Linked DNA regions of Oreochromis niloticus. The protein of the gene in region 1 interacts with the protein of each later gene in a pairwise test. Links are inferred from orthologs where the notes say so. Each region holds a gene or a part of one and is shown on either strand. Other genes may lie near its edges. The genes, in order: klhl12, segment polarity protein dishevelled homolog DVL-3, pdgfrb and prr13.

Evidence for each region.
Region 2: the proteins of klhl12 (region 1) and segment polarity protein dishevelled homolog DVL-3 interact in binary tests that used the Homo sapiens proteins (3 or more experiments, as listed by UniProt). The two-hybrid records come from large-scale screens. The link is inferred for Oreochromis niloticus from reciprocal best matches to the Homo sapiens genes KLHL12 and DVL3.
Region 3: the proteins of klhl12 (region 1) and pdgfrb interact in binary tests that used the Homo sapiens proteins (3 or more experiments, as listed by UniProt). The two-hybrid records come from large-scale screens. The link is inferred for Oreochromis niloticus from reciprocal best matches to the Homo sapiens genes KLHL12 and PDGFRB.
Region 4: the proteins of klhl12 (region 1) and prr13 interact in binary tests that used the Homo sapiens proteins (3 or more experiments, as listed by UniProt). The two-hybrid records come from large-scale screens. The link is inferred for Oreochromis niloticus from reciprocal best matches to the Homo sapiens genes KLHL12 and PRR13.

The regions. Positions count from the first base shown.
Region 1 is NC_031984.2:10,042,664-10,049,774, forward strand, and holds the start of klhl12 (kelch-like protein 12), read left to right. Parts: upstream 1-4,091; 5' UTR 4,092-4,366; exon of another isoform or gene 4,367-4,459; 5' UTR 4,460-4,511; coding exon 4,512-4,569; intron 4,570-6,518; coding exon 6,519-6,745; intron 6,746-6,918; coding exon 6,919-7,072; intron 7,073-7,111. Other genes in the region: ptpn1 (tyrosine-protein phosphatase non-receptor type 1), read right to left, coding at 1,192-1,282, 3,524-3,580. UniProt on the Homo sapiens protein: Substrate-specific adapter of a BCR (BTB-CUL3-RBX1) E3 ubiquitin ligase complex that acts as a negative regulator of Wnt signaling pathway and ER-Golgi transport.
Region 2 is NC_031982.2:12,052,833-12,060,783, forward strand, and holds the start of segment polarity protein dishevelled homolog DVL-3, read left to right. Parts: upstream 1-4,950; 5' UTR 4,951-5,421; coding exon 5,422-5,582; intron 5,583-7,030; coding exon 7,031-7,100; intron 7,101-7,951. Other genes in the region: copb2 (coatomer subunit beta'), read left to right, coding at 1-130, 313-520, 664-774, 900-1,114, 1,231-1,369, 1,467-1,604, 1,780-1,857, 2,016-2,144 and 1 more. UniProt on the Homo sapiens protein: Involved in the signal transduction pathway mediated by multiple Wnt genes.
Region 3 is NC_031966.2:25,209,530-25,217,080, forward strand, and holds the start of pdgfrb (platelet-derived growth factor receptor beta), read left to right. Parts: upstream 1-4,530; 5' UTR 4,531-5,108; intron 5,109-7,551. UniProt on the Homo sapiens protein: Tyrosine-protein kinase that acts as a cell-surface receptor for homodimeric PDGFB and PDGFD and for heterodimers formed by PDGFA and PDGFB, and plays an essential role in the regulation of embryonic development, cell proliferation, survival, differentiation, chemotaxis and migration.
Region 4 is NC_031970.2:5,714,851-5,722,110, reverse strand, and holds prr13 (proline-rich protein 13), read left to right. Parts: upstream 1-4,450; 5' UTR 4,451-4,586; exon of another isoform or gene 4,587-4,599; intron 4,600-4,681; exon of another isoform or gene 4,682-5,101; intron 5,102-5,425; 5' UTR 5,426-5,456; coding exon 5,457-5,472; intron 5,473-5,599; coding exon 5,600-6,066; intron 6,067-6,295; coding exon 6,296-6,340; 3' UTR 6,341-6,740; downstream 6,741-7,260. Other genes in the region: cell division cycle-associated protein 7, read right to left, coding at 1,099-1,242, 1,567-1,719, 1,822-1,917, 2,099-2,485, 2,959-3,072, 3,552-3,620. UniProt on the Homo sapiens protein: Negatively regulates TSP1 expression at the level of transcription. This down-regulation was shown to reduce taxane-induced apoptosis.

The DNA.
Region 1 (7,111 bases):
AAATAGAGGAAATGCTTGTTTCTGTTTTTGCTTTTTATTTTACCATTTATTTCAAGGCTTAAAAAAATAGATGATACTAAAAACATTGCTGAAAAAAAAAAAAAAAAAAAAACTTAATTTCCCCTTTCCCTGATCTTCCCCTTGTGTAGGTGTTTTTGAGACACTCAGTAATAAATTAGCTGGAAATACTATGCCACGCCAGTTAGAGTCATGCAAGGCTGTTTCTATTGCGCAATACTACCTTTACTTGACTTCAAACTGATATTACAGTGCTTGTACCTACTAAAACAGCAGACAGCTTAGGTGTTTATATAATGCTGCATAATGCTGTGACTTCACCACAGATGTTTAAACATAAATAGGAGATTACAGACCCTTCAACACTGCGGGTAGAGTACCAAGCAAAGAGACCCACAGTGGCATTCACTTAACCTTCAAGTATTCAAATGAGGTCGCATTATCACCCCAGCTGTATATTTATATGTGCCTTTGTGATATTTTGAATCAGAAAAATGTTCCTATCATGACATGACATGACATGACATTTGCCATTCCACAACTTTTCATAGTTTCTTACACGAATAACCCCTTTGGTGTGGCAAAGATAATAGAAAGCTGTGTGAAAATGTGAGCATGTTGTTTTTTTTTAAAAACATAACAGTGTTTGATTTTATTGTAATTTTCCACTTGTACTCACTCACTTTAATGTTTTGCAATGAACCACAGTTCACAGATGCAGAGCAAGATTCAGAGATATCCTGAAGCACATGCGGTTTGACAACTGAGCAACCAGAGCTGGCAGGCAGGACACAAACAAATCTGCTACTTTCAGGGGCATTTGGACAATGTTTCTATCACAGTTACCCAAATACTATATCCCTGTGACCAACCTCTGTGTGCATGGTGCTAGCTTTAAGAGGCAGGTTAAGTTTCAGGTAATGTATCTGTTCTACAGAAGGTTTGGCATAAAAACCTGGCATAACTGTGATGCTTAAAATCACTGAAAACCCTAGTTAATTACATGAAAACATTTTAAAATATCTGCCCTAGATAAATGAAACCAGTATACGAGTATATAATGAGGTCCTAAATGTAATTTTAGTGGCTAAAACACCTTGAGAGTTGTGGGAATATTTTAAGTGTTTCAGACTCTGCGGTCCAGCACACTGAGGCAAGCAAAGACAAACTTACACGGGCTAACGTCTCTGTATCGATTCCGATTCTTGTTTTCAGGTGATTTGGCAACCTTACAAGGGAATTCACTCGACTGCTGCCGAATCTCCTGTAACAGAATAAAAGGAGGAAAACAAGCATTAAAGCAGAGTTTTGGTGTTTTTGCAGGGTTTTTTTCGTTTTGTTTAAAAAAAACAACAACAACAACAAAACAACATCCACTCCACATTAAAAAGCTCTGAGTGTGACTGCTGTATTCTTTAAGACAAACAAACAAACAAAACAATGATGACATTCACTGATGACCCTTTTACAATTTCCTCTAGCTATCTCAATAACAATCAGGATTATATTTGCCTCAATACTAACACTGTCAAAAGCTTGTATTTAGACTACCCTAAAATATGAGGAGGGGGTTATCAAATTTCTGAAACCAGAAATTTGCTGGTTGCTTTCTTAGGGTGGTTAATGAAAGTTTAATTTAAATGTCAATTCTGACTTCCAACAATTATGAAAACAAGAAACAACATTCATTTTCATTGTTTTTATTGTTTCATGATATACATGTTCCAAGCCCACCTATTTTGCTTTCACCTCTTCCTAAAAAGTTTAAACTTGCGGTTTAGTTCAGTTGCAGGCAATATAACTGCAAGAGAGCTAAACAGCGGGACAAAAAGTTTCAAGGCATAGGTAGGTGAACCTGTGGAAAGATTATTAATGGTTGACTGCAGCCGTTTCCAACTCTAGATCACTTAGGGCCTGTCACCCTATCTGCTTTTGGCAATGCTGAACAGTTTGCGGTCAGCTTCAGTTCTCTGTGGTTCATCTGAGGCTGCTTTAAAGGTTTCCCAAGACGGCCGAACTCTATTACAGCGTTTCGCCCATCTGGACCCACAAACATTCCGCTATGGAAGCTATGGGCTTGTAGGGACCATCACCTGGTCTGGCTTTATAATCCAAAGCCCTGCCTACTGAACAGTTTTTTTCTATGTTATTTGAATTATGTAACAGTTAAAGAAGATTCCATGTGAAAAAACAACAACAACAACACAGTTTTAACTTCAGCCACTGCATAATGTTTGTAAAGTTTGTAAATAATAGAGAGATGATTGAGATTTGACTCAATGACCAATCATAGTCCATAACCTTATGTTCCACAGTTTCAGTTTATTCAATTTTCTTCAGCAGGGATAAATAACAAAGACACGAGGGAGAAAACCAAAGTCCACAACAGGTCTGATCGTTTGATCAAGACTGAATTACGAATAACAATTTAGCTCCATTAAGAGCATTTCCTGGCTCAAAATGAGCCTTTGGGGTGATTACATGAAGTTTGCGTAGCAGGTCAAATTTTCTTATACGCAGAAAGAAAGAAAAAAACCCCAACTAAACAGTACACTTCATATCATAAATGAGGAAGTGAATGCCTTTGACATGTTTAGTAGACCACAAATGTACAGAAAATATTTAATGTGTTGGTAAATGTTTTGAACAGTACTTTTGCTAGCTCACAAAAAAATTCCCAGGGGGTACTTTTAATTTTAAGTTTTAGGATATGGTCTTAAAGAATTAAAATAGAAGCTGTATGGCACATATAACAGACTAATGAATCCTGTATGCAATAGTATATTGGGGAGAGGGGGATTCCTGGCTCAAAGCAGGTTTCAGTTGGGGTTTTTTTTGGTTATTTGTTCTGTCAGAAATTTATTTTTTCTAAATTAACCCCACTGAAAACCCTTAACAATGCATTTAAGTTTGAGTAAATCAAACCCCATTCAACAAAAATTAATAATTCTCTTTTATGAAAGGCTAAAACTTCTTTAGAATGTGGCAAAGTTTTTCATAGAGGAAAATTTCTACCATTATTGTGATGCATTTCCATTTGAATTGTTACCTATGGCATTTTACACCTTACGTGTATCATGGTATGGGAGAGATAGAACCGCGATACGATATTTTGGAGGTTTGTATCGCGATTTCACTCGGTTTCAGGTGTGTTATACCCCTATGTAATGTATTACAAACATTTATAATAATTATAATAAGCTGCCGATTAACAGCGGAATGGAAATGTTAGACGAAACTGAGAACAAATCATTAAAAATAAGTTAGTACGTCCAAAAAATGTATGACGTCAGTCAGCGTTGAGCTGCTGCCTTTATACCCGGGCAGACGCATCAATCATCGGTTAACTCCGAGCAGGAAGAACAGGCGCTGAACTAAACACCAACACACTGATATAGCCAGAGAAACTATAGCTACCACCTCACCTTACATAAGCTACACGTTGGCCTAACCAGCTTCAGCTACGGTCTGATTATTTCCACCTTAATTTGCCAAGAGCTCTTACCTGATAAATGGCGTTCCAGCTGCCGTTTTCATCGATTTCCCGAAATTCAGCTTCCATCGCTGACAGTCCAGCTGCCACTCACTCTCTCGTTGTTTAGCCTCCCGATACGAACAACCAAAAGTCCCCGAAGATTAAACAAATTTCAGTCAAACTATTCGCAGTAGCTGCCAACTGGTCTGCCGCTGTTTTGTAATTCTCAGTGCGGCTGCATAGATTACCGTCTCGGCCTGCTCTTAGCGGAAACACGCCGCTAACTCCTCCTCCTGCTGCTGTAGCTGCCGTCCTTGGGTGACCAAAAAAAAGAGAGCAGAATTTTTTTTTTTTTTTAAGAGATAAAATTCCTCCTGCGTTTCTCTGTGTGTCACTTTGGGTTTATAAGCCCCCGTCAAATCCGGATTTGTCACTTAGTTTGAGTGAGACGGCTATTTTACTATTCCTACAGCAGCAGTTGAGGCCGACCAGCGGGCATGCGCGGAAGGCATCTTGTTTCTGGAGCGAAACGCGTCTGGGCGGTCTCCTCGGGGGACGCGCACGTACACTCACGTAATGGTCTGTTTACGTCCAATCTGTGGAGTCGCTGCTCTGCTGCTGCAGTTTAGTCAACGGGATATTATAGCTGGATAAAAATCCCATCGGGATTTAATATGATGCCGTTCCGATATATGTGTCCTCACGGTGGCCGTGCATAGAGTGACCCGGCAGAGGTCGTCATGGAGTAGCTGTAGTTGAGGGGCTTTGTTTAGGCAGTGCGACTGGGAGCAAAGAACTGGGACAGGGGGACTTTGGTGCTACTAACGTTAGCTAGCTGAGCAACTTAGCTAGACGTTTTTACTGCTGCGACAGGTATTATTATAAGTTGTTTTGTGTGTGTGTCGCTCCATGTGTTGTCTTCCTCTGGCCGTCAGCTCACTTTATATTGCTGTGTTTTCGTAGTTGTTATTGTTAGCGTTGGCGTTAGCCGTCAGCTGTCGTTGGCTGCTGCTAGCTAATGTGTAGCTATAGTTATTGCCTCCCAGTGGTGGAAAAAGTATTCAGATCTTTTAACGGTAAGTTTTATTTGCAAGACTGTAGTGGAAAAATGTTCCAAAAATGTAAAGTCTGGAAAGGAAAAAAAACACATATTTATTTGACTAGCATTATTAAATATGCTGCATTTATTCATAGAAATAACTGATCATTTAAACCTTTCTACAAGAAGTAGAGTGATGAGAAAAGTATTTCCCCCATTTCTGAGTTGTTATTTTTTTCATTTTTGAAATCTTCAAAGAACTTTTAAAATTAGGCAAATGTAATCTCAGTTAATACAAAATGCAGTTTTTAAATGATGATTTAATTTATTCAGGGAGTAAAGATATTCATACCTACCCGGCCCTGTGTGGACAAAAGTAATTGCCCTCTACAACCTTGATAACTTGTTATACCACCCTTGGAAGGATGAACCGCAGTCAAGTCTTTGTGATAACTGGGAATGAGTCTTTCACATGTGGAGAAAATCTGACCCACTCTTCTTTGCAGAATGATTTTAATACAGCCACATTAGAAGGTTTTCAAGTATGAGTGGCCAGTTTAAGGTCATGCCAAAGCATCTTAATCTGGTTTCAGTCTAAAATTTGACTAGGCCGGTCCAAAATCTTATTTTTTTGAGCCGTTAAGAGGCAGACTTGTTAATGTGTTTCAGATCCTGCTGCATAACTCATGTTATGCACCAAGTTATGCTTGAGCTCCATGGGACAAACTGATGACTTCACATTGTTCTTCAGGATTTTCTGGTAGAGAGCAGAATTCATTGTTCCATGAATTACAGCAAGAAGCCCTAGACCATCACACTACCACCACCGTGTTTCACTGTTGGCATGATGTTCTTTTTGTGAAATGCTGTGTTAGTCTTACATCAGATGTAACAGGACACAAACCTTTCAAAGGTTCAACTTTAGTCCTCAGAGTATTTTTTTTTTCAAAAGTTCTGGGGTTTATTTAGATGTTCTTTGGCAAATGTGAGACATGCCTAAGGCCTCCTGGATCAGTCATCGATGGGCTTTTGGAGTAATTTTGGTAGGCTGGCCACTCTGGTGAATGTTCACCACTGTTCCAATTTTTTCTTCATTTGTGGTTAGTGGCTCTCACTGTGGTTCACTGGAGTCCCAAAGCCTTAGAAATGGACGTCAGTGACTTTGGTTCTCATCTGTTTTGATCATGGCATGATATGTTGGTTTTTGAGCACTTTTGGGCTACTTTACTTTGTCAGGCAGGTTCTATTCTTGTGATTTCTTGATTCAGTAGGTGTGGTAGTAATCAGACCAAAGTGTGGCAAGTGTAATTGAACTCTGATTTCCAAAAATGTGGTTAATTGGAGTTAATTCATGATTTAACAAGGGTAACAATTCTGTTTTTACACAGGGCCAGGTAGGATTGGATAGCTTTTTTCCCCCTTAATAAGTCAAGTCATTGTTTGCAAGAAATAAATCAAGAAGTCGAGCAAATACAGCACTATAAATACTATAGTGCTTCTATGATAGTCAGTATTTTCTCTCCATTGCTGTCCTGTAAGCAGAATAAATTATGCTATTTCTTGTCCTTGCCAAGAAAAAAATGTAGAAATAATACACAATACAAATTATATATATACAAAGTAAGTATTATATAATGTAAAAGTTAATATAAAGTGGGGTTTTTTTCATGTACATTTTCATTAGCAGTTAGGTTTTGGGGGGGGAGGGGTTTGGGTTTTTTTTTTTTTTTTACAAAATGTTGTAAAAAGGGTGTAAAATAGTGACAAAAATCTGTTATCATTTCCCACAAAGTGTCACAAACTTATCTTGTGAATAGCCAGCAGTTCAACCCAACTGACAAATTACTGACAGACACACACACTCACTAGCTGCATGACTTGCTTGTACAGTATATAAAAATGTGACATTGTGGCGTGCTTTTATGCTTACTGTGGAATACCTTTCTTCCCAAAGGATGTTTTCAAAATAGACTGTCTTTTTTCCAGATTCATTTAGTAGTTTGAGATCCGTAAGGGATTCTCAAAGCAGCATGGCTCCCAAAGACATCATGACCAATTCCCATGCCAAATCCATCCTCAATGCAATGAACTCACTTCGCAAGAGCAACACACTCTGCGACATCACTCTGAGGGTGGAGAACACTGATTTTCCAGCTCACCGAATCGTCTTGGCTGCCTGCAGTGACTATTTTTGTGCCATGTTCACTAGCGAGGTAATAATGTTTGAAAAATAGATGCCCCAGTTACATTCCTGATGCACTCTTTTATTCTGTTTTTTTCTTTGTTGGCCTTTCTGGGTGTTTTAAGGTGGTGTTACATTTGCCTAAAATGCAGGATGATTCTCAAAAGTAATCCTTCAAATAAATGTGTTGTTGTGGCTCTGTAGCTTGCAGAAAAGGGGAAATCTTTTGTCGACATTCAGGGGCTCACGGCATCCACTATGGAGATCTTGTTGGACTTTGTCTACACAGAGACTGTGCTCGTCACGGTGGAGAACGTACAAGAGCTGCTCCCTGCAGCGTGTTTGCTACAGCTCAAAGGTAAGTTCAGAGCTGTACCTTGAGTTAAAAAGTTTCTAA
Region 2 (7,951 bases), on another chromosome or scaffold:
TCCAGGGAGAGATCCAGGAGATTGTCAAGACTGGGCTCTGGGTTGGAGACTGCTTCATCTACACCAGCTCTGTAAACAGACTCAACTATTACGTTGGAGGAGAGATTGTCACAATTGCACACTTGGACAGGTAAGAATACAGACTATTTAGGCTCGAGTTGAATAGAATTGCCCTCCCAACTTTATTAGAAACACAGTCCAGCAATGCGGAAACTCCGCAGATTATTACAGTAAATATGTAATCTACAAAAAGAATAAGCAGCCTCTAAAATTAGCCTTGGTGCTTTTTCACACCTACTTCCTTTTCTGCAGGACCATGTACCTACTGGGTTACATACCTAAAGATGACCGTCTGTATCTGGGAGACAAGGAGCTCAATATCGTCAGCTACTCCCTGCTGGTCTCCGTCCTGGAGTACCAGACTGCTGTAATGAGGCGGGACTTTGGAATGGCTGACAAGGTGCTACCCACTATCCCTAAAGAGCAGAGGACCAGGGTGGCACACTTCCTGGAGAAACAGGTTAGCAAAGGCGATTCATTCATCTTCAAATACAACTGGACTTTAAACATAAGCTGTAGAAATCTGGTCTATTAGAGGTTATTTTAATGGTTGTCTTTTGAGTTGTAAGTATGCTTAAGGCTTCAATTTCTTTGGCTCATCAGGGTTTCAAGCAGCAGGCCCTGGCAGTGTCCACAGACCCTGAGCACAGGTTTGAGTTAGCCTTGCAGCTGGGAGAGTTGAAGATTGCTTACCAGCTGGCTGTAGAAGCAGAAGTAAGGACACAGAAGCAAACGCAAACTCTGTATCAAAGGCTTGACCATAAATGTAATTTGATGTCACGATGGATCAGGTTTTCTGTCCAGTACATTTCTGATATTTTTTACTCTGTTCTCTACAGTCAGAGCAGAAGTGGAAGCAGCTAGCAGAGCTGGCTATTAGTAAGTGCCAGTTTGGCCTGGCCCAAGAGTGCCTGCACCATGCCCAGGATTATGGTGGCCTGCTCCTCCTCGCTACAGCCTCCGGTAATGCTGTCATGGTGGGCAAGCTGGCTGAAGGGGCAGAAAGGGACGGCAAAAACAATGTAGCCTTCATGACCTACTTCCTTCAGGGAAAGTAAGTGTGAGATGTATGAGCCTGCAGGGGCGAATTGTGTAATAGAATCGTGTTGTTCACACTGAAAATGAGGCTACCAGGGTCATTCATGCCTTGCTGCTGTGCTTTCTTCACAGACTGGATCAGTGTTTGGAGCTTCTGATCAGAACAAACAGACTACCTGAAGCTGCCTTCCTGGCTCGCACTTACCTACCCAGCCAGGTGTCCCGTGTGGTCAAATTATGGAGGGAGAATCTGGCCAAGGTCAACCAGAAGGTTAGTTACGTCCTTGAGATTTTTGTTTTAGCTGTTAAACTCAATCAGCATCAGTCTAGATATCTGTTCTTGGTCATGACCTGCATCTTCATTGTAGGCGGCTGAATCCCTAGCAGACCCTACAGAGTATGAGAATCTGTTCCCCGGGCTGAAAGAAGCCTTTGCAGCTGAACACTACCTGAGAGAAACCTGCTTGGGCACCACCAGGCCTGCTAAAGACTATCCACTTGTTACAGTAAGCTGAATGACTTTGGTCAAAATACTTAAATTATGCAGTGAGGAGACGGTCATTAAAGTACTCACTGAAAGTCCATGATGACTTAAGTAAAAAAGATGCTTAGTTTTGAGGTAAATTATCTGTGTTATCGCTAATATGGCAGCACTTCTGAATTTGTATCTGACATTTTCAGCCCAATGAAGACAGAAACATTCTTGAAGAGGCCCAAGGATACGAGCCCAAAGGAACCTTCCTACCTCCTGTCTCTAAGGTTTGCATACAGTATCAATATCTCAGTACCTTTTGTATTAACCTGATTACTGTTCATTGTTCTGTAGCTTCTGTCGGGTGTAAGAATGAATAAAAGCTAGAGAAATTAGTGCCAAGTACAATTTAAAATTCCCTTATTTAACTCACTTTTTTTGGCAGACACAAGATGAAGAGGAGGCAGCAGCTCCCGTTGCTGCGGTGACACCTTTACAGCCTGAGCCTGCTCCTCCTGCAGCAGTGGAGAAAGAGAAAGAGACTGAAATCTATGATTTCTCACAGAAAGATAAGGTAAAGACTTCTGCTCTTTATTTTTGATTTATTATGCTGTCAGTCCTTCTTCTAGTGTGGAAGTGATGACTTAGGTTTTATTCATACAAAACAACTTTTAGCACATACTGTTCTTAGTTGATGAAGTAAAAGCAAATAAATGGAACATTGTTTAAAAAAGGATTTTCCTTTTTGTTTGTGTCTCTCCGTCCTAGACTCTGGATGAGCTCGAGGTGGACCTGGACAACATGGAGCTGGATGACATTGACACCACAGATGTTAACCTTGATGATGACTTTCTCGACGATTGATTGAGACCTGCCAACAGTCTGCTCCCAAGCACTCTATAGAGCATATTTAAAAGAAAAAGAGACCAAATCCCTTTTCCCCACTTTTTTTTTCTTTTGTATTTGTCCGTAAAAATGTTATATTGTCATATCCGCCTACTGCAGTGTTTGAGTGGCAGATCATGATATCAGTGATGTTTTATCCTCAGAAGAAAGGTAGACAGACTCCCTCATTTTGTAAACCATTTATTGTTTGAGAATTTCAGAAAAACTGTCCACTGGGCTGTATTTTATTACTCTTTGCTTTTTGCTTTGCTTTTTTTTTCTGTTGTGGCAAGTGAACATTCATTAAGTCCAATAAACTGGTTTCTGTACATATTCACATTTGACTAAAGAGCGTCTTAATCTTGATAGTTATCGCAAAAATTAACAAATGCAGCTTTTAATAATGAAGCAATAATAAGTTCCTCAGCAGCATCGAGTGTGTCAGGGTCCAGCTGGGGTCTTTGCTCCTCATCTACAGCCACTTACTGCAGCACTGAGCAATTCCTGAGATGGTGTGGTGTACGGCTTGGCCACACATCTCTAACTTTTTAAGGAGTTTGGGTGGTTATAGCACAATCAGAATCAGTATACTTTATTAATCCCTAAGGAAATTATGTGGGTTACAGTTGCTCCAGTACAGTAACAGAAACATAACCACTGTTAATCTCCACTGTGCAAACTATTGCTCTCCAACCTCACTGTTCCACCTCCGCTTTCAACTTAGGATGTCATAGCCTCTTCCTCTCGCTGGCCTGAGCCATGCCATCCTCCCATTCTACTGCCAGCTGTATAAATTAGACAGACACACATGCATCACTGCATAATAAACAGCATAATAATGCATAATTATTTGAAAAATTCCAGTGATGCAAGTCTTGTAATTGTCAAAAACAAACAGGAAAACCTACAAACATCTTTTGGCAGCAGCAGCATTTGTGTAATTAACATTAACAGTGTCTCTGTTGCACCATGTAGGTGTGGCAGTAAGTCAGACATGACTAACATGCAGCCTTTACTAAGATTCAAGTTGTTACTCTCTGTATGAGAAAGGCCCATTGTGCATCTTCTAACTGTTTTGAACAGGTTAAACTACTTTATGCTCGTAAACATGTTAAAAAAACAAAACAAAAACACTTTTACTGCAGTGCACTTAAGTGCATTCTTTTAGGTTCTTTTCTGAGTATTGATACAATAACTAGCATCACAGAAAGCAGTTAACACTTACTCCACATGCACAAAGTGCAATATTAGTATGAAAAGATATCATTTATTCTCCATAAAGAGTACTTTTATCTTGTACTACTTTAACTGTAGCTTCAGACTTTTTAAACTGTTGTGTTGCTTTAACTGCATTGACAGTGTGTTTGTGATTGTCATGCTAAAAGAGTCATCTGTTGCCAATTAGACACTTTCCACATTGTGCTTTTCTGCGTTCATAATTCAGTTTTTAAAAGGCAGTGTTTGATACTTGATATCTTGCTTTGTTTTTTATGACATTTTGATAAATAGCAAAAGTAAAGATGGAATATTTTGATGGTTACACTTATAAAGATGTAATTTACAGCATTTGTTCTATTAAAATGCTATTATCTGTAAAGAAAGGACTATAAAAGTATGTTATCCTTCAGCCAGATGTATGCTATCTAAAAGTGTAGATGTGTTTGTGTGTAAAATCTCACTGCACACCTCAGAGTAATAAGACACATTTTTATCTGAAATAGCAGGTAAACACAGATGTTAATAACCACATTAATTACGGCTTTGTGCTTAAATACAGCATAACCGGCATTAATGTCGGTAACACCTGTCTGCTATTTCATGTGCTATAAAACATGTCTAAAGTGTGAACAATGGCCATATAATAAACTGAAGAATGTTAACCATGATCCACAGTCATAAATTAAGTTCTTTGACCTGCTGATGTGGGAAAAACAAATAATCTTGATAACAAAATTGAAATATTACTGCCTTTCAATCACTCTGATTGGACTTCTTCTCAGTCTGAGTGAGCTATGATAGCAATTACAAGGGGTCAGCAAAATTCATACACAAATAAAAATGTCGTTTGATTTCAAAACCTCTCCCTCCATGCCAATTCTCTGCTGTATGATGGGAGGGCCTACATTCCCCCAACCCCCTCCTTCCAGATTTAAAATGCAAAGGGGAATTTTCCATTTGTCTTTTGTGTCACAGCTGAAATTTTTAATTTCAGAGTGATTAAGATCCAAATTCTAAGAGAGTAAAATGATGACTGACAATGATGGTCTTATTCTTTGCAATCCATCTAAAGGTTTCAGCTGTAAATTGGAAACTTTTGAGTATAAACATATTGAAGCTCTGTGTAAGTATAACATCATATAATTGTGGGTGGTCTGTGGGGCTTCAAAACTGCTTAAAGGCCGTTTAATGGCCTTGCCAGAGCAGTATGGGAGCAGTTAAAGTGCCCCAGCTGTCCTCGAAAAGCTGTCACTCTCCTCCTCACCTGCGGAGGGCGCTCCTCCGAGACAGGCTTGGACGATTTTATGCAGTTTCGTGTGCAACAAAGTAAAGCCGAGCAGCTAGCGAGAAGGGAGTACGGACCCTTCTGAGATTGTTTATTTTTGCGCCGTTTTGAAACTGTTTTTCTCACTTATTTGTAAGGTTTTTGTGATATATTGTAGGTTTTACACAAACGGAAACTAAAGCAATTCAGTCCTGGGGCGGTGTTTGGACGCTTTGTGGAACAGCAAGGTGTTTTTTTAATAGAGAGTCAGACGTAACGTTAGCAAGCTGCCGTAAAGAAAAAAGAAAGGGGAAAAAAAAGGCAGAACCGGGCACTACGGAACGGGTCGGTCAGCCAGAGAGAGTCGGGTGGACCACGGCACAGCCGCAGCCGCCAGCGCCACGGGGAGTCGGGGCCCGAGAGGGAGCCTGCCAGGCCCTTGGCTTGATGCACCCAGTCTGCCTTGCCTTATCCGCAGTCCGAGATGGGGGAGACCAAAATTATCTACCACCTCGACGACCAGGAGACACCATATCTGGTGAAACTGTCGGTGCCGGCGGACAAAGTCACGCTGGCAGACTTCAAAAATGTCCTCAAGAAACCAAATTACAAATTCTTCTTCAAATCTATGGACGATGACTTCGGGTAACTGTTAAAGGGTTCATTGTGTTTAACGTGGAATCAGCATAGCAACCCGAGTCTGCTTAACCTCAGTCCAGTCAGATTAACTGTAACATATTTGTTACCTCGTGGAGCTGGCTTGTCATCACTTTTAAGGTTGCCTGTCTTTCAGTCATCAGCTAGCCGTTTGCTTTGCTGTTCCTTTGTTAGCTGCTAGCGTCCAGGTCGCATCGTTAGCAGGTCTGTTCAGCGTCCCGACCCCGTTTGTTTACATTGCTCGTGCTTAGCTTATGCTGTACTGTCTTACCAAGTTTGGTCATTTCCAGTGTCATGAACACTAAAAGAAAGCCTTTAATCGCATTTCAACTTATTGAAGACTAAATGAAACAAGGAGCAATTCAGAAAAGTGTTACTAACTAGTTATTGACGTTACAGCTGTCAGTTGCTGCCTAATGTATGAAACGCTTATGCTAGCAGGCTAATGAATGGGTCTAACCGGACACTTGGTGAGTGAGTGAGACCAGAAGGCCCCTGCTGTTGTTGTCTATTAGCCTAAGGAATGCAAAGTTGGACACAGGAATGCCCTGTTCATCACTCTGGCAGCTTTATGAGCGTGTCCCTTTGTGTTAAAACATGGCCAGAAAAGTAGACGTTTTATGATCCTCCACACTTTACCTTCTTCAGAGTTAAATAAAAGGGAGAAATGTACTTTTTTTTTTTTTTTTTTAAACACTCGAGCCAGGTTGCCAAAGTTTTTCTGGCTAAACTCAAACAAGGGTGGGGCAACAACCTAGATAGGAAGGACGAGTTTTGAAAGGATCCGCAGCTATTTGTGTTGTTTCAAGAGTGGAGGTGCATGCACTAAATTAGCTGCTGAATCCTTAAAGTCTAGACTGATGGTGTTTTAGTAACTTGTTAGACTGGTTTGGAGCCTGAGATCTTTACCAGGAAAGCCTCACTGACCATCAGTGTTCTCCCTGTCAAAGACCCGGCTAATCTTGACATCTCCAATACTCTGAGGCACTTGTTAAATACATGCCTTATTTGTCCTCTTCATTGTGTAACAAGGTGTTGTTAAGATCTGCCTGCCATCTGATCCTTGCAAGCAGGACTGAATGAATGGGAGGGTTTGCAGGAAATTCACATGGTTACATTTACACATGCCTTTTGTTAATGTATTTGCAGCAGTCTGTAATGCATTAAGGCTTACTTCTATATATGAAATGGACAAGTGAGCCATCTTTGGACTGGTTTTCTGTGCGTGTGCCAGTAGTGTCAAACATTTGGTTATTTTGAACATTGTCATTGATTCTTAATGTGTAAAACTGTCCCCAGTTGTCAGCGTCCGTCCTGGTTGGTGGAATATATTGTCCAGCTCCACTTCCTCTAAATGCACCCTCATGTTTTATTGCCCAGGGAGTGCTTTTGTGTTGGTAATGTTTGACTGAAACAAAGCCTTGTTCTCTTTACAGGGTGGTAAAGGAAGAAATATCTGATGACAATGCTAAGCTGCCCTGCTTCAATGGACGCGTGGTGTCATGGGTAGGTCCAAAATACACGCTGCAATAAAATGTATTTATTTATTTATTTTTTTACTGTTTGCTTGTGTGCGATAACTTGTGTGGTTAAGTGGCGTACATGAATGTGTAACAATGATTACCATCTGTTGGGCACTTACCCCAGTCATGCTCAAGCTTAGGGGGAGGCACTGCACATCTGTGTAATAATATCATTATCACATAACGATCCTCAGAGCAGTATACATACACTGCTTTTCCTAAACCTTTTCTTTTTCACTGTAAAATATCAATTTTTTTTAGCGTGTCCTCACACAGGCTAGTTGCCGCATATAGCACATACATGTACTTGCATGCAATTTCTTATTTAAAGCCTCTAAGCAATAATACGCCTGTCTCCACAACATTCGAGACATCTGGCGCTCGTGCACGGCCCTCCTTCCTCTCTTCTCGACATTGAAATTGGATTAAGAGCAAGTGAAATCACAGGATAGCCGGAAAATACTCCATAACAAAGGGCCTCACTGCAGGTCATCTAACAAGAAGATTGAATCTCACAGGGAGGAGAGAATAAAGCAGAGAGAAAGACTGCTCTGTGTCGTGATGTGAAAGGCTAAAGCACTCGCTTAATTTCTACAGTGTGGTTTTAATTATTTGAGCATCATCAACATGGCGTTATTGCTCCATTCTGGAGCGTATATTCCACCGTGCTCGTCCTAATGCGTCTCTTTGTTGTGGTCGTTTTCATTAGACTGCGCAGAGGTTTAGTTTAATGTGTTTAAAAGCCAGTTCCCCTTTGTGTGCGTTTGCTCCAAAGTGTTTGTTATCTCTTGAGGGCTGTTGATATGTTCCACGTACAGTCAAATGTTATTTCTG
Region 3 (7,551 bases), on another chromosome or scaffold:
GTTAAAGTCCATATTTTAATTATATACATCACAGGAACATTAGAACATGTAGAAAACATAGCTGTAGAAATGGCCTGCTTGCCTTCAGTGGCAGCTATGGCTCTGACCAGATAATACACTTCAGTATCATTATTATGGCAAGTATAAAGAATTTTTTTATTCTCTTAAGCTGTTTAATATACATTTGTAGTCCTTCAGACTACACGGGTTTTTCTCCTATTTGAATTGAAAATGGTTCTCCTTTGTAATTCTTTGTGTTGTGAGCTTGATTAACCAGGAAAACACATGATAAAAATCCTGAAATACCACTCCAGCGTCTTTATTTATAGTCTGCTCTGATGTAAGACCAATAGTCAAGTCAAGTCAAGTTTATTTATAAAGCACATTTAAAAACAACCAAGGCTGACCAAAGTGCTGTACAATAAAATACAAATATAAAATACTATAAAACACAGGTACATAAAATACCTCACTGATAAAACAATAAATTAAAACAATAGGTTAAACCTTGCTAAAAGCCAATGAAAAGAGGTGAGTTTTAAGAGCAGTTTTAAAAGTTCCTAGGCTTGTGGAGAATCTGATGTGAGGGGGTAAACTGTTCCACAGTCTGGGTGCAGCCACAGCAAAAGCCCTCTCTCCCCTAGTCTTTAATCTGTACCTGGGAACATCTAAAAGCATCAAGTCTGCTGACCTCAAAGATCTCCTGGGGCAGTAAATGCTAAGAAGCTCTGCCAGGTAAGGAGGTGCAGTACCGTTAAGAACCTTAAAAACCAGCAGTAAAATTTTAAAATCAATCCTAACAGCAACTGGGAGCCAGTGGAGAGAGCAGAGGACCGGAGTGACGTGGTCTCTCTTTTTGGAACCGGTCAGCATGCGGGCAGCAGCGTTCTGCACCAGTTGGAGGCGATGCAAACAGGAACGATCTAAACCAGCATAAAGGGAGTTACAGTAGTCCAGCCGTGAAGTAATAAAAGCATGGACCACCCTTTCTAGATCGTTCCTGCACAGGTAGGACTTGACTTTAGCTAAAATCCGTAGGTGATAAAAAGATCCCTTGACTACGGAGCTGATTTATTTGTCAAATTTAAAAGCACTGTCAAAAGTAACACCGAGGCTCTTAATAGGGACACAGGTCAAGCAAAAGCAAAGTTGCTTTGCTCCCTGCTATGTCATGGCTCAAAACATCCATATGAGGGCAGCAAAAAGCTGAGTAATAGCAGATAACCTTCCAGGTTTGGAGTCTTTCAAGTTCAGTCATACAACTGACCTGTTGTTAAAAAGATCCACACAGTTAATTCATCATCATCATTCTCGCTGTTAGCGTTTTATTCTTTCCATCTTCAGCTGACACCGTGCCTTATCCTATATATTGCACTTATCAAGCTCGTGCATGAGCTCATCTATATTGAACTATCATAAAAGATTCATGTCAATATCAAGATAATCATTCTCAGCTACAGTGCCTATCAGCTGTTAGCAGGAAGCTGGCTGATGTTAATGGAAGTGGCCTGAACATTAAGGAAATTGCAACATAAACATGAAAACATATCATCCAACGCTTGAAATACATTGATGGCGACCACAATGCGAACCAGCTTGCCTGAAAATAAACAAATGTGGTTAAAGCACTTATGAGGGTATGTCTTAATGTACAAAGTAAAGTTTGACCTTGATAAACCCTAAACATTTCCATTACTGTATAGTTATAATCCCACATTTAGAGATTTAGTTTAAATCTGTTTGACCTTAAGATGCCTGTTTCCTTTTTTGATCTATTCAAAATTTTCAGCGCTCCAAAAAGAGAGCTGGTTTAGGGAATGTTTTACCCTTTACAGTAGAATCGTGGTTAGTTATATATTTAGTTTAAATTTAAGCCTCTCCCTAAATGCAAAACAGATAGCAAATGCATTGTTGCTCTGTTGTCTGTCCCACTTTGCCTTCTCTTTTTTGACAATGCGTTAGACACCATGCAACAAAATCACACTAAGATGTGAGTGTAGAGAGGGCGCGGATGCAATTTCTCTCATTTCTCCTCCAGTTCAGCATTTAATCTCATTCATTCCCATAACTAGTTCTTGAAGCACCAGATCAAACAAATCGTTCCATTTGAACAGTAGCCCTAAACTAAATATTTGTAAATTGATCACAACATTTGGCAAAGACAAGCAGAAACTCTTTGCACTGGAGAAGCTGGAACCATGGAAGGTTTTCTGTTTTTGGTTTAGTTTTTAAAGTAGTTGCTGAGTCTTACAATAAACTAGTTGATTAATGGATTAACCATTTCAGTGTGGTTGTTAACAATGTTGCTTCACGGAAGGAGGTTCTGGGTTTGAATCCACCACCCAGCTGGGGCCTTTCTGTGTGGAGTTTGTAGGTTTTCCTGTGGTTGCATGGGTTCTCTGTGGGTTCCACAATCTAAAGTCATGCATGTTATGTTAACTGGTGATTCTAAACTGGCCTTAGGTGTGAATGTGAGCTGTCTGTTTCCGTGTCTTAGCGAGTGATAGCATCTTCACCGAGTTGTATGTCGCCTTTTGGTGTATGTTAGCTAGGACAGGCTCCAGAGCCCCTAAGACCCCAAACTGGATAAGGAGAAGAAAGTGGATGGATGTGTGTTTGAGGCGGGGTGTAGTTTGCAGATCAGCTGCAGTGGGGTGGGTGGGGGGGTGGAGTAAAGGGTTCAGGAAATGGCGTAAGGGGAGGTTGACCAATACAGCTAGCCTTCCCCATTTCAGTAGGTTGCTGAGACCTGACAGGAGTTGTTGTGTGTGGTGTGGAGCAACAAAGGCAACTGGAAGCCTGCTCTAATAAAAGCCCTGCAAATAAACATCAGCTCACATGTGATGATGCTGTTATGATGATGTTTTATGTTGTATTGCTTCTTCTTGATTTTTGCTGTTTTCTATTTTGAATGTCTTATTATTGTGGTTCATTTTCAGATTCAGTCCCAGATCACATTGCCGAAATCAAGCTTTAAGGTGCCCCAAAGTCATATATCTATTATCGGGACAACTTAAAATGGAGGCAGCTGTAGTTCAAACATTTCCCTCAGTCTTCATCTATCAGAGGTGCAGCAGGTTCAGCTCCAGGTCTAGACTTTAGTATACATGCTCCCTGCCTCCACAGGTCTTTGTCTCAACTCTTGTACCTCTATAATGGCCTGTGCTTGACAAACACAGCGCTGTAACTTTTACCTTTTCCTGAAACCCAGCAGGAAAACAACCGTAGAGCCTGTTTGCACTGCTTTGCACTCCAGCTATAACACTAATTCAGATCAGCAGTGATAGAAACTTCTTGTTAGCTGCTGACAGGCTGAAGAGACTCAGTATTGTTGAGGCAGAATATTTTGGAATCCCACTTGTTAAGAGCTGCTCCACTCTGTGGGGGTAAACAAGGAGTGCTGCCATATATAGAGCAATAGACATCCCGTTGTGGACTCTCTTCAGCACTGCATTGTATCAAGATGCTAAAATTACATGTGATAATAAAATGAAAAGACCCCCTAAGATTCTAGCATCCTGTTATTATCGGTGAATTTCTGCGGGTGTTTCGACAGAGTTCGTGTCTTATCTCATGCTGATAAAGGATTGTGTGTGCATGAGTGTTTACATACGTGACTGACGAGCACGTTATTGCTGTATTACTGCCTTTTTATCTTTTGGGTCTACAGTTTTATTGACATTACAAGCAATGAAACGCCTACAAATAGATTCAAGAGTTCAAATAAGTGGATTTAGAGCAGGTTTATTGCAAGTAGGTGCTAATTACATAGGCAGAATTAGAAAGATATAAAAGGAGGAACTGTCCCTGTGTGGTGTTCCTCCCCTCCTATCTAATAACTGGAGGGGGCTTTCTGGCACTCTAATTAGTGCGAGCAGGTCTTTTAGATTTGCCCTCTCAATTAGAGGAGAACATGTTAGTTTCCAATTTAGCTCCTGTTCCCCTCCGCCCCCCGTCTGCCCCGACCTGCTTGTTAGATAGAACAGGTCTTTATTCAGCTGCAGTGCTGCGTTCTGAATCTCAGATCATCCTCTCATATCCTGGGAAAGGATTGAAATAGGAAGAAGGCTAGTATTGAGAGCAGACATATTTACATGGTTTTGCTTGTGTTTATAAAAGAGAGGATAAAAGGCCAGGGAAAAAAAGGAGAAAGAAGGGGGTGAGGATGGTGGGAGGTGTTGAGTTATTTCATGCAGGGGAAAAAGAAAACACTTGAAAAAAAATATGATATAAAAAGAGATGTAAAAAACAAAGCTAGTTCACTAAAGTCCCCTTTAACCACTTTTATACCTGTTTTTAAGAGTGTGATTATATAAGGGAAGTTATTTTTCCTGAGAAACTGAGACTTCCATGTTTGTTTCCAAAGCAGGGTGCAATCAGCGCTGCCAAAACCTTTTTTTTTTTCTCCTGGCTGGACCACTCACTCACTCTCTCACTCTTTCTCCTCCTTTTTATTGTGTTTGTTGTTTTATGGAGGGGGTTAGATGCGGTCCAGATTGCCGTTGCCAATAGAGACTGTCTCAGTTCACCTCCACTCCATTCATAAACAAATCGCTCCGGCTCAGACCTCTGAGCCTCTACCTTAGAACAACAAGCAGAACTGGATTTGTATTTTGAAGTTTCGTCACTCTGTTAGAAACTTCTTGCTTTCTGCTTCAGCTCTGTTTCACTGCTCCCTCCCTCCTCTCCCTCGTCCTGCTCTCTCTCAGCTTCAGCAGGGGTGGACACTGACGCTCTGCTTAGTGTGGATCTGTCAGGGGTGGAGTGTGCACAGTTTGTGTGTGCGTGTGTGCATGTTTCTGTGGGGAACTTTTTTTTTTCTTAGAACACTCTTTCTGAGTGTGAGAGTGGAGAGAGAGAGAGAGAGACACCCATGGTGATGTGATTTGACTAAACAAACAGCCGGGCTCACTGCAGTACCTCCTCCAACGGACTCCTGGGACAGCAGAGATTAACCTCAGAGTGAACATCAGAGGGATCTATACATTTGAAGCAGCAGCCCCTGTAGAGACATCTCACTGGAAGTCTCTCCAATTTCCTTCTGCTGGCCGACAACCTTCTTGGTCAAAGAGGAAAGATTCTTCTGTGCTTCTGGGGTTCGTCTGAAGGTAAGAAGCATACTTCTCTGTCACCATCAAGTATTTTAGTATAAGTTACAGCTGCTCCACATCTGCTGGCAGAAGTAAAAAAGGGCCGTGCAAAGTGGGGAACATTCACTTATCCTGTATGGGAAGCCCACTGTGACAGATTGAGTTTCACAGCCATCTGACACAGACGCACCTCATCCTGAACACTGGACCCAAGTTTCGTATAGCTTTTTTAAACAAAAAATCTGATTTGATTTGACAAGAGAACAACCTGTAGGTCTTCGTGATGTTGTTGCTGTCTCTTGCTGGTGTTCGTTACCCACATACTTGTGTGTGTGTGTACACAACAGCCATTGCAACGCTGCGTGAAAGAGCGTAAGCAACCTGTTCAAACATCAACATAGTGATGGCTTGCATCTCTGTACACAGCAACTGTTTGACACTTTCACATTGGACAACTTTAACATTGTTTATTTTCCCACTAACAGAATGCATTTGACAAGGTGTCCCGGGGTCTAGTGTACACACAAACACAGTAGGGTTTATAGTACAAGCTGTTTGTACGCTCTCCACTTTGTGCTTCCCTGCTAAAGGGCTTGTTTGTACAGCCCTCTTCAGTCACCCAGAGTGGCGGTCCTCACCACCAAACCATCGGTCACTTTCCTCCCTTTTCAATCTTCTCTGCATTGATTCATGAAGAAGCTCATTGAAGAGCCATGGCTGTGAACTGATATCAGACCCAGCGTCTATCACTGTCAACAGCATCCTCTTTGGAGGAAACATACCACCTTAAATTTATAGTTTTATGACTCAGTCTCCCTTTTATAATGTAAATATCTCGTAAAATCAATCTGGTCTCATCTCAAGAAGTTGAGAGCCGACATAAACAATCAGTTGAATCATTGCTTCCTGTTCATCAGAAGATTTTAGTAGCTGGAGTGAGTTATATTATAGCACTGTGAGCCATTTCATGGCTGTGACACATGTGGCATACATGTCTTTTCCAACACGTGTTTTGCACCTGAAAGCCTTCCCGCCTGACTGTTGTGTATGGTTGCTTTGGTATTTAAGTTGTTGGGTTGGGTAGCTGCACATCCATCTTCTGCATACAGGGGACCTTTTTGACATGAAACCATTTGAATTAGCATCTGCTGTAATCAAAACGTTGTTGGCATGTGTTTTGTGGATGCTCTTCTCCTCCTCTGCAGACAGGAGTGTCCTTTTGAAGTTTTTGATCTTCTCTGGCTCTGTGGATGTTTCACTCCGGGCACTGTCTGGCATTGTTTTTGTAGATGAACCGCTGGAAGACTGCATGCATGTCATACTTTTACCATCAATGGTGCTAGACTGCATTGCATTCATTTCATAGTTTTAAATTCAGTTTCTACTTTCACAGCACCAACTTATAAAACACTAAATCTGCTGTGACAAATCTTTATTGTAAGATTTGCAAAACTTAGTTTAATTTCGACTCTGACAAGTGGGGATTTTCCTGTCTTGCGTCAGGCTGCTGGTATGTACTCCAGCGGAGTGCTCCTCTCCGGCCCCGATGCAGTGCAGCCCAGCCGGCTCCATTCCCCCTGGCCCAGACCTAATCCGTCGACATCAGCTGTTTCCTGGCTCTCTAGGCTTTCTGCATGCCAGCAGCTTTGAGCAAATGTGCTTCACATTATGACCATGCAGAAAACATGCCAGGAGTCTGATTTAACTCACATGTGCAGATATGTAACATTTTGAGTTCAACAACAACTTTTGAAAAATACTGATCCCATTCTGTCCTCGTTTCATTTATCCTCTGTGATTTCAACTCAAAGTTGAGCAACCCTCATCTGAAAAAACTTGTTTATAGAGGAAACACTGAGTTAAAATACTTACACACTCTCACATCATGTTATCGTGACACGGATTGGTTCATTTTTCAGATTCACAGAACAAACTCTGACTCATCCCCTGGTGGACACTCATTGGCTTACTCATTATCCACCACCAATATTTTTTGAATGAGTTGTTGCTTTTCTTAACACTATCAGTCTAGTGCCTCTTTGTACGTCGCTGGTTCTTTCATACTGTGCTTAGACTTTATACTTGAGTCACACAGTTTTAATGAAAAGCACTAAGTGGTGCTGCAGTAAAGCATCCTGTATGGCTGGCTGTCCATCTGGCCTCCCCCCTCATTGTTTCCCTCCCACTCACACAGAGCTGTCAGGCAGCTGCATCTCATCTTAAGACAGGAAGTGAGTTTGTTCATTGAGGAAACATTCATTTGATTTATTATATATATACTCTCGTCGCACAATAACAAACTTTTAGAAGGGGATAAGCCTAAAATCGCAAAGAAAGGTGTCATAATCACGCAAAGAAAAAGACATTGCAATGTGGATACAGTGCAGAAAATTACTAGAAGACTATTAGGAGACTACTTCCTCATTTAGTACTTCTCTTGTTGTATACTCATTGCATGTAC
Region 4 (7,260 bases), on another chromosome or scaffold:
CTAAAAACACTCGTCTGAGGTCAGGACGGTGGTTTATCTTTATCGGTTGTCTCTCGGCTTCAGGTTCTGTGCACACTCAGATAAAAGGTTCATTTCACAGGTCACATGACTCTTCACAAAACGACCCCTACGAGTGTTGCTTACTCCAGACATTATCTGATGATGTGATACAATAGTGATTAAGATTCTTTAATGAACATAAATAATCTGCTCCTGACCATGGTGATTTAACCAGGTACACTTTCATGGTACATAAAAGTCTAGCTTGACATAGCTGACTAAGCCGTTAATCTTGATTCATAGAACAACCCTCAGTTCTTGGGTGTTTATGCAGTCTGCAGTGTTATCATTATTAGGTGGAGAAAAAGGGAAAAAAGAAAAAGCATACCAAGCTAGGTTACCTTATGCCACCAGGCTAAAGTGGATTTATCTGTCTCTGGTAAATCAACACCTTAGGTAAACCGTAACCTCAAACCCTTCTGTGTAAGCTGCACCGTCACCTGCTGTGCACCTCTCTACAAATGTAACCACACGTCATGGAAACACAGCTGCACAGGCATAAACATGGGAACAGTGTTGGATGCTTGTGCAGGCTTCGTTGTAGCCTCTACAGAGCAGAAGCCTAAATTAAGTTTAAAGGGAATGGCATGGTTTTGGCATTTCTTCCTGTGGTGAACTCTACTGTCGCTCCCTTACCTTTTCAGTCAATCAACACTTGACCTACAGAAAGCTTAATCTCTTTCAGGCTATGTACAAAAACACTGGCTGCATATAGAAAATACTTCACTTTACGCAGCCAAAGATAAAGGCAATCGCATCATCATGAATCCCACTTAAAAGCACCAACCAGAAGGTGGAGGTCACAAATGTACACTCATAAAAAGGGGTTTAAAAATAAATGTCAGATGTTCTCTTGACCTTAGGACACAGACAAGCTTGCCACGAAAGCCTGAAGAATCGGTTTATTACTATTTGAAAGCAATGTGTACAGAATTAAAAAGAGTGTTTATCTCAGAAGTCATCATCCAACCATGTATCCTGATCACCTGGTAACACTGAGTGTTAACGGGGTTTGAATAATACCAGCAGTAAACTCACGGTGACACTGTTGTAGACTTTCTCGGTCATGTTGTCTGCGACCAACTCGAGATCATCTTCTGTGATTTCTTCTACCGGACGAATAATGTGAGGTTTGCTTCGATTACCTCGTGGGACGCCACGACGCCGTGGAGCTTGGCGTACCTGAAACACATGATGAGAAGAATAATCCACTTAGCTTCAAGTTTTACATGGATAGGGGCAAGAAACAGATTAGAGAATAGAGCAGAATAAAATGATGGCTTTCACTCACTGCCACACTCCTTATCACTCTGGTTCTCTAAGGAAAGCATATGCACGATTCTGAACACTAATTTTTATTAGATTTTCTTGACTGCCATCTACTTCAAAGCTAAACCAATAAATAAATAAATCACATGTAAATATGTATATTACTGTACTATATTGAACAAATACTCCAAAGGCCTTGTAGACTTTAACTGGCTGCTGATAAGTGACAGAACTGACCTCCAGCAGCTCCTCCTCCAAGCTGAGCTCCACTTCTGCCTCCTCAGCAGCCAAAGGATCCTCCGTTCCCGACATGGACCTTGTCAGCCTGCGAGACGCCCGCTCTGGGTTTCTCCTGGATTCTCCTCCAGTCGCAGCAGATCGTGGCGGATGCTGCAGGAGATATGATCCATCAAGAAATTAAAAAAAATTCAGAGATCTACTGAAAAAGATGTGCTGTTAGCTGAAAATCCCTTCATTTTTCACGACACTCACAGAGCTTCTGTCTTTTGCCTTCTGTTTGCCTGCTTGTTTCTTCAGCAGCCCTGCACCTCCTGGCATTTTCTGCAGGTCTGCCATCAGCTGAGCCAACTGTTAAAGATGAGCAACATGAATCACTGTAGAAGGTCAGCACTTGAAAGCATTATTGTACTATTCACACATTTCCTGAAGGCTTAGTCCTCTCAGCACTAGTCCCTGAGACCACATTTGTTTGTTTTCACATCAGTTTGTCACATTTTAAACTCGGTATGTGGTTCTGTGTATGATTTACCATGGCTTTGTTGGCTTTAATGTTCTGCTCTCTTCTGGCCAGGAAAGTGTCCGACGCATCATCTGCTGAATCAGAACCTCGGTCCTCAGTGGAAGCAGGCCGAGCCGCTGCTGCCTCGCCATCTTCAAATTTCACGTGTCTCTCCTTCTTTGTCCTATTGCGCTGTCCTGTCCTTTTGACTCCTTTCTTGTATGTCGTCCTCTCCTCCGCCTCTGCATCCTCATCGTCCGTAGACTGCTGGGTAGAGGGAGCTGAGCGCAGAGCCACCCTCAGCCTGAAGGGCTGGACTGTAGAAGTAGCAGATGCTTTAGATTTAGTTTCCTCTTCCTTGGGGAAAATGTCCAGCTGAGCTTGAGCTTCATCTTCATCTCCAAAACTGCAATTCTGCTGAATATCAACACAGAATAACAGATCTTTTGGCCAAATCCCTTTACATTAGTGGTCTGTCTGAATGAATGCAGAGTAAAATTACTGGATTTGGCAACACTTTATCGTGAAACAACCAAAATACATGCCAATTATAATTATTGCCAGAGAAAATCCACACATATTTACAGCTTTAAGAATCATTACAAAAGAAAAAGAGAACACAGATTTATTAGATCATAAAAAAAGGAGGTTAGCATCAATTGATGCTCAGAATAAGTGGTGAAAATCGTCTTCAAATAAAACACATTAGCTTGTAGAGCTGGTGCTTTTTTTTCCCTTTTTAAATGTCCGACAGTATATAAACAATTTAACCCACCTGTCAGCCTAATGTGTCCCACATAAACAACCAGTCCAAGTTAGTACTTGGCTTTCTGGTCACCGCAGTATGGATATATGAAGCTTTAAAGGTCTAAAACCAAACAAAATCTTACCTCATCTTTGAGTTCAGTGTCGGTAAAGCCGTAAAATGTCACATCATTTTCACAGTCCTCCCAAAAAACATCAGCTAGCTCCTTTGTGAGCGAATTCATCCTTAAAACCGTGTCCTACAGATAAATCACCAAAATTAGCCTCAAAACATTATAAAACTGTGTAGGATACGTTTATCTGAACAAACAGGTAACCAAATCCTAATTTATTGGCCTCTTTGTCGCCTCTTGTGTGTGTGGCTAACCTAGACTGTGGATAGCACCCTGCTAGCCTGTGAGGTATAGCTACGCTCCTGCACACCTGCAGACACACCTTCAATTACTCGTTTTAATTGCCCGCTGAGTTCAAAGCTGCCCGAAAATAAATTAATGTGATTTTGAGGGCTAAATTAGCACGAATTTGCTGACGTTATTATATGACCTTTTTTCCCCTCTAAAATTAAGTTTTTTTCTTTATTGTATGTTAAAAAAAACCCATGACGTTTGAGCCGGGAAAGCTAAAGTTTGAGGAAACCGACCCCAGAAACGAAGAGCTTCATCCCACCTCCTGCTGTCTGTGATAACAAAATGATAGCTAAAATTATTTTTGATTTCACCTTCAGCTTTGTGGTAAATAATGCAGTTAGACTAGATATTTTTCTCTTCCTACATTCTCCAAACTGCATTTTGTGGCTGATTAACAGTGAAACACCAGTAAGAGATCCATGGAGCCCATGTGTGGAAGGATGTTTATCCAGCCATCATGCCCTGAAGCTCATCTCACTTGGCATCTGTGATAGCTTTATTTATGTACAGCATAACTAAAAAAGGTAAATTTTTACGTTCACAGTTATGCTCAAATGTCTCCATCTGCAGGTGGCTTTACATTATGAACCTGTACTCATCGTCAAGAGATTCTCCACATACTGAAAAAACTGGATGTATGTAATATGTTTGAATATTTACTCAGGTATTCCAGTGAGACAACCCAGGTCATACCTATGCGCAAAAGGCCTTTTTAAGTATCATATTCTGAAATATCACACTGATTATAGCGAATAAATAATAACATTATTTATGGATAAATTTAATGTAGCGTCAGTTTTAGAGTTTATTTCTTAGAATGTGTTTTAGCTGATTGTGAAACTTTTATGAATTAAACAGAGCTTGTGTTGATGTCATTGGTGACAAGCATAAAAAACTCAATTCCTGGACAGTAAACCTAAACGATGTAATTCACTGCAGCCATCATTTCTGCTGTAAACTGATTGTATAAAAGGTTTTGAAATCTGTGTATTGTTGAACAATTTCCAAGTGCTGATCCATGATGTCATGGGCTTTATGTGCTACCATGAGGGCATGAGTCATAGGTGAAAATAACAATAGTGTCAAGTCAGGTGTGTGTATGTGTGTCACGACACACACCTCAACTCCCGACTCCTCCCATTAAAAAAAGATCACTCAGATTGTTTTCTGTTTTAGCCATGTTCCCAGGTATGATGGACTCTTGCCATTGCGTAAATAAAGTCCGCAGCGTTCCTCCCAAAGGGCGTGGCTTCCTGGTGTGCTTCTTTAAGCCTTCCGGGAGCTGGGTGCGGAAGACAAACACGAAACTGCTCTTTCGGAATTCCTGAAACTTCACTGCAATCGAGGTAAGTTCCCAAGGTAAAACCTGTGAAATCTTTAGATTTTGATGCAGTTATTATAAATGACTCGTTTGGGACAAACAGCTAAAACTCACAATAACGACTGACTGAGTGTGCTGAACTTGCTGTGTGGAGAAACATGGAGAAAGTGTTGCGGATTTACAAGCTGTTGAGCAATTATGACTTCATGTTCAGACTTCATGTTTTGTCAGGTCTTCTTCTGTAAGCGTATACATGCGGCATTTAAGCCTTTGATGTGTGTTGTATTAAGGTTTATAGCAGCGATGAGCCGTGTTCTGTACTGAAGTGCTACAAAATGTAACCGTTTCCACGGTAAACACTTAAAAACAAACTAACAGATGACAGATATCACGACCTTCATAAAGAGAGGATTAATTGGAGGGGTTTACTACGGTTTAGTTTTATTTAGGTGTTCGCATTAAACGGCTTACTTTGTGCATCTGTGTGTACACCAAACACAAATTGTGAAATGAGAAACCGTGACAGCTAAAGGTGATCAGGTGAGTAACTGCCTCTGGCTCTGATGTCTCTTTGTCAACATGGTTACTAAAAGCAAAAAACAACCAAAAAAATCCCCCACCAGATATTTCTCATTGTTGTTGAGTGTAAGCACCGACTGCTTTTCCCTTTGTTGTGTCTTTGTAAAGTGAATATCTGGTTTTGATCTGGAAAAATGAAGAAGCCACTGATTAAATGTTAACTGTTGTTTGTTTAATTTGGGTAGAATCAAGAATTCAATCAAGATATACTGAGTGATATATTTACAGTGTCATTTTTAATTAATCCAATATGTTTAAACTGCATTTCCTTTCTCTTTCCTCTAGGATTTTTCAGTTAGTTCAATATATATAAACCATGTGGCCAAATCAAGGTAGGACATCAAACATGATTACCATTTAATTATGATGTTTTATTATGTGTGTCTATAATTGCTTAAAAGCTTAGGTGTTTTGAAGCATACAGTGTGTAAGATGGATGTGCGCTTTTACTTGTATCAGGTCCTCCTCCACCAGTCGGTCCACCAAACCCAGCCTTTCCTCCTGGCTACAATACTGGTTATCCTGCTGCCCCTCCTCCAGGAGCCTTCCCCCAGCCTCCACCTCCACCATACTCTGCTGGCCAGTTCCCAGCTCCTATGAATCCAGCCATGGGACCACACGGTGCACCAGGGGCGATGCCTTACGGAGCTCCTGGACTTCACCCTTATCCTATGGCTCCAGGTGGATATCCAGTTGTTCCTCCTGCAGGTGTTCACCCAGGTCCATATCCACACTCCCCCAAAGGCGGCAAATACAAAGGTCATCATCATCCTCATCCTCATCATGGAGGGCTAAATCCCATGTCTGGAGCCTTAGCCGGGGGAGTTGCAGGAATGGGAATGGGGCTAATGGGGCACAAAGCAAACAAAAAGATGCACAAGAAGATGAAAAAGGCACACAAACATAAGCACTACAAACATGGCAAGGTGAGACTGGGTTTAAATTTAGAATGTCAGAGTTTATGGTTTAATTTTCCAGTTTTAAGTGAAAAGAGCAAACAGTTTTCAAAGATGGTGACTTTTAAAACTGTGTCTTTCTTTGTTCACTGTTGAAGATGGCTTAAGCAGATCAGACATTGTTTATAATTTTAAATCTATATTTTAACTGTTTTAAAATTATTGATAGATGTATAATTTCCTGTCTCTGTCTTCACAGTCCTCCAGCAGCAGCAGCAGCAGCAGCAGCAGCGACTCAGACTGAGGCGACTGGTTTGAAGCATGGCTTTCACATAAAAGCTGTGTAACAACAGCACAGCGCAACTATTAACTGTTAACAGTTAACTGTCAATGCATTAAAGCAGTTCTTATAGCCTTTTGCAGATTTTTGCTGAGTCACAGCAAATCTCACATGGTCACTATATATGTATGACACTAGAAATGCATACAGCAGCTCTTTGTGTGTGTGTGTGTGTGTGTGTGTGTGAGAGAGAGAGAACTTTAATCAGCACTGGGATACCACCTCATGTTGAATTTAACTTTGGTTTGTGATTTTTAGGTGAAATGTTGCAATTTATCTACTGTTACTATTCTCTAATATTACAATGACAAACATGTAGATAACTGAAAAAGAGACTGCAGCACTGTGCAGATGATTTTCTTAATGTAATTAAGTTAAAAGGGATATAGAAAATATAGTTAATTAAGTAAAGGTATACTGTCTATAATTGTTTTTTTTAATTTTTTTTATTTTATGATCACTACTGTGCATGGCTGCAGAACTGTTGCTTGTTAATATCATTCATTTTAAAGTTAAATAAATAAATTGTATTAATAAATGGAGTTACATAAAAAGTATTTGGTGTGTTTAACATTGCTGAGAAAAATCGAGATTTTTTTTTTTTTTTTTTTTTTTAAGAAAAAAAGAAAGAAAGAAATTGTAATAAATGTCATGCTCACTAAGGAGACAGGTTTAATAGTGAAGATACAAGGAGCAGAGGTAGTGAATTTAAATACCTGGTGTCAACCATCCAGAGTGAAGAGAGTGCAGGGAGGGTGGAGTGGGTGGAGACCAATGTCAGGGATGATTTGTCCCAGAAGGATAACAGCAAGGGCAAATAGAAAGGTTTCCTGCAATGATGTCTGGTAGACAGGAGGCAGAGTTGAAGATGCTCTGAAGGTTTT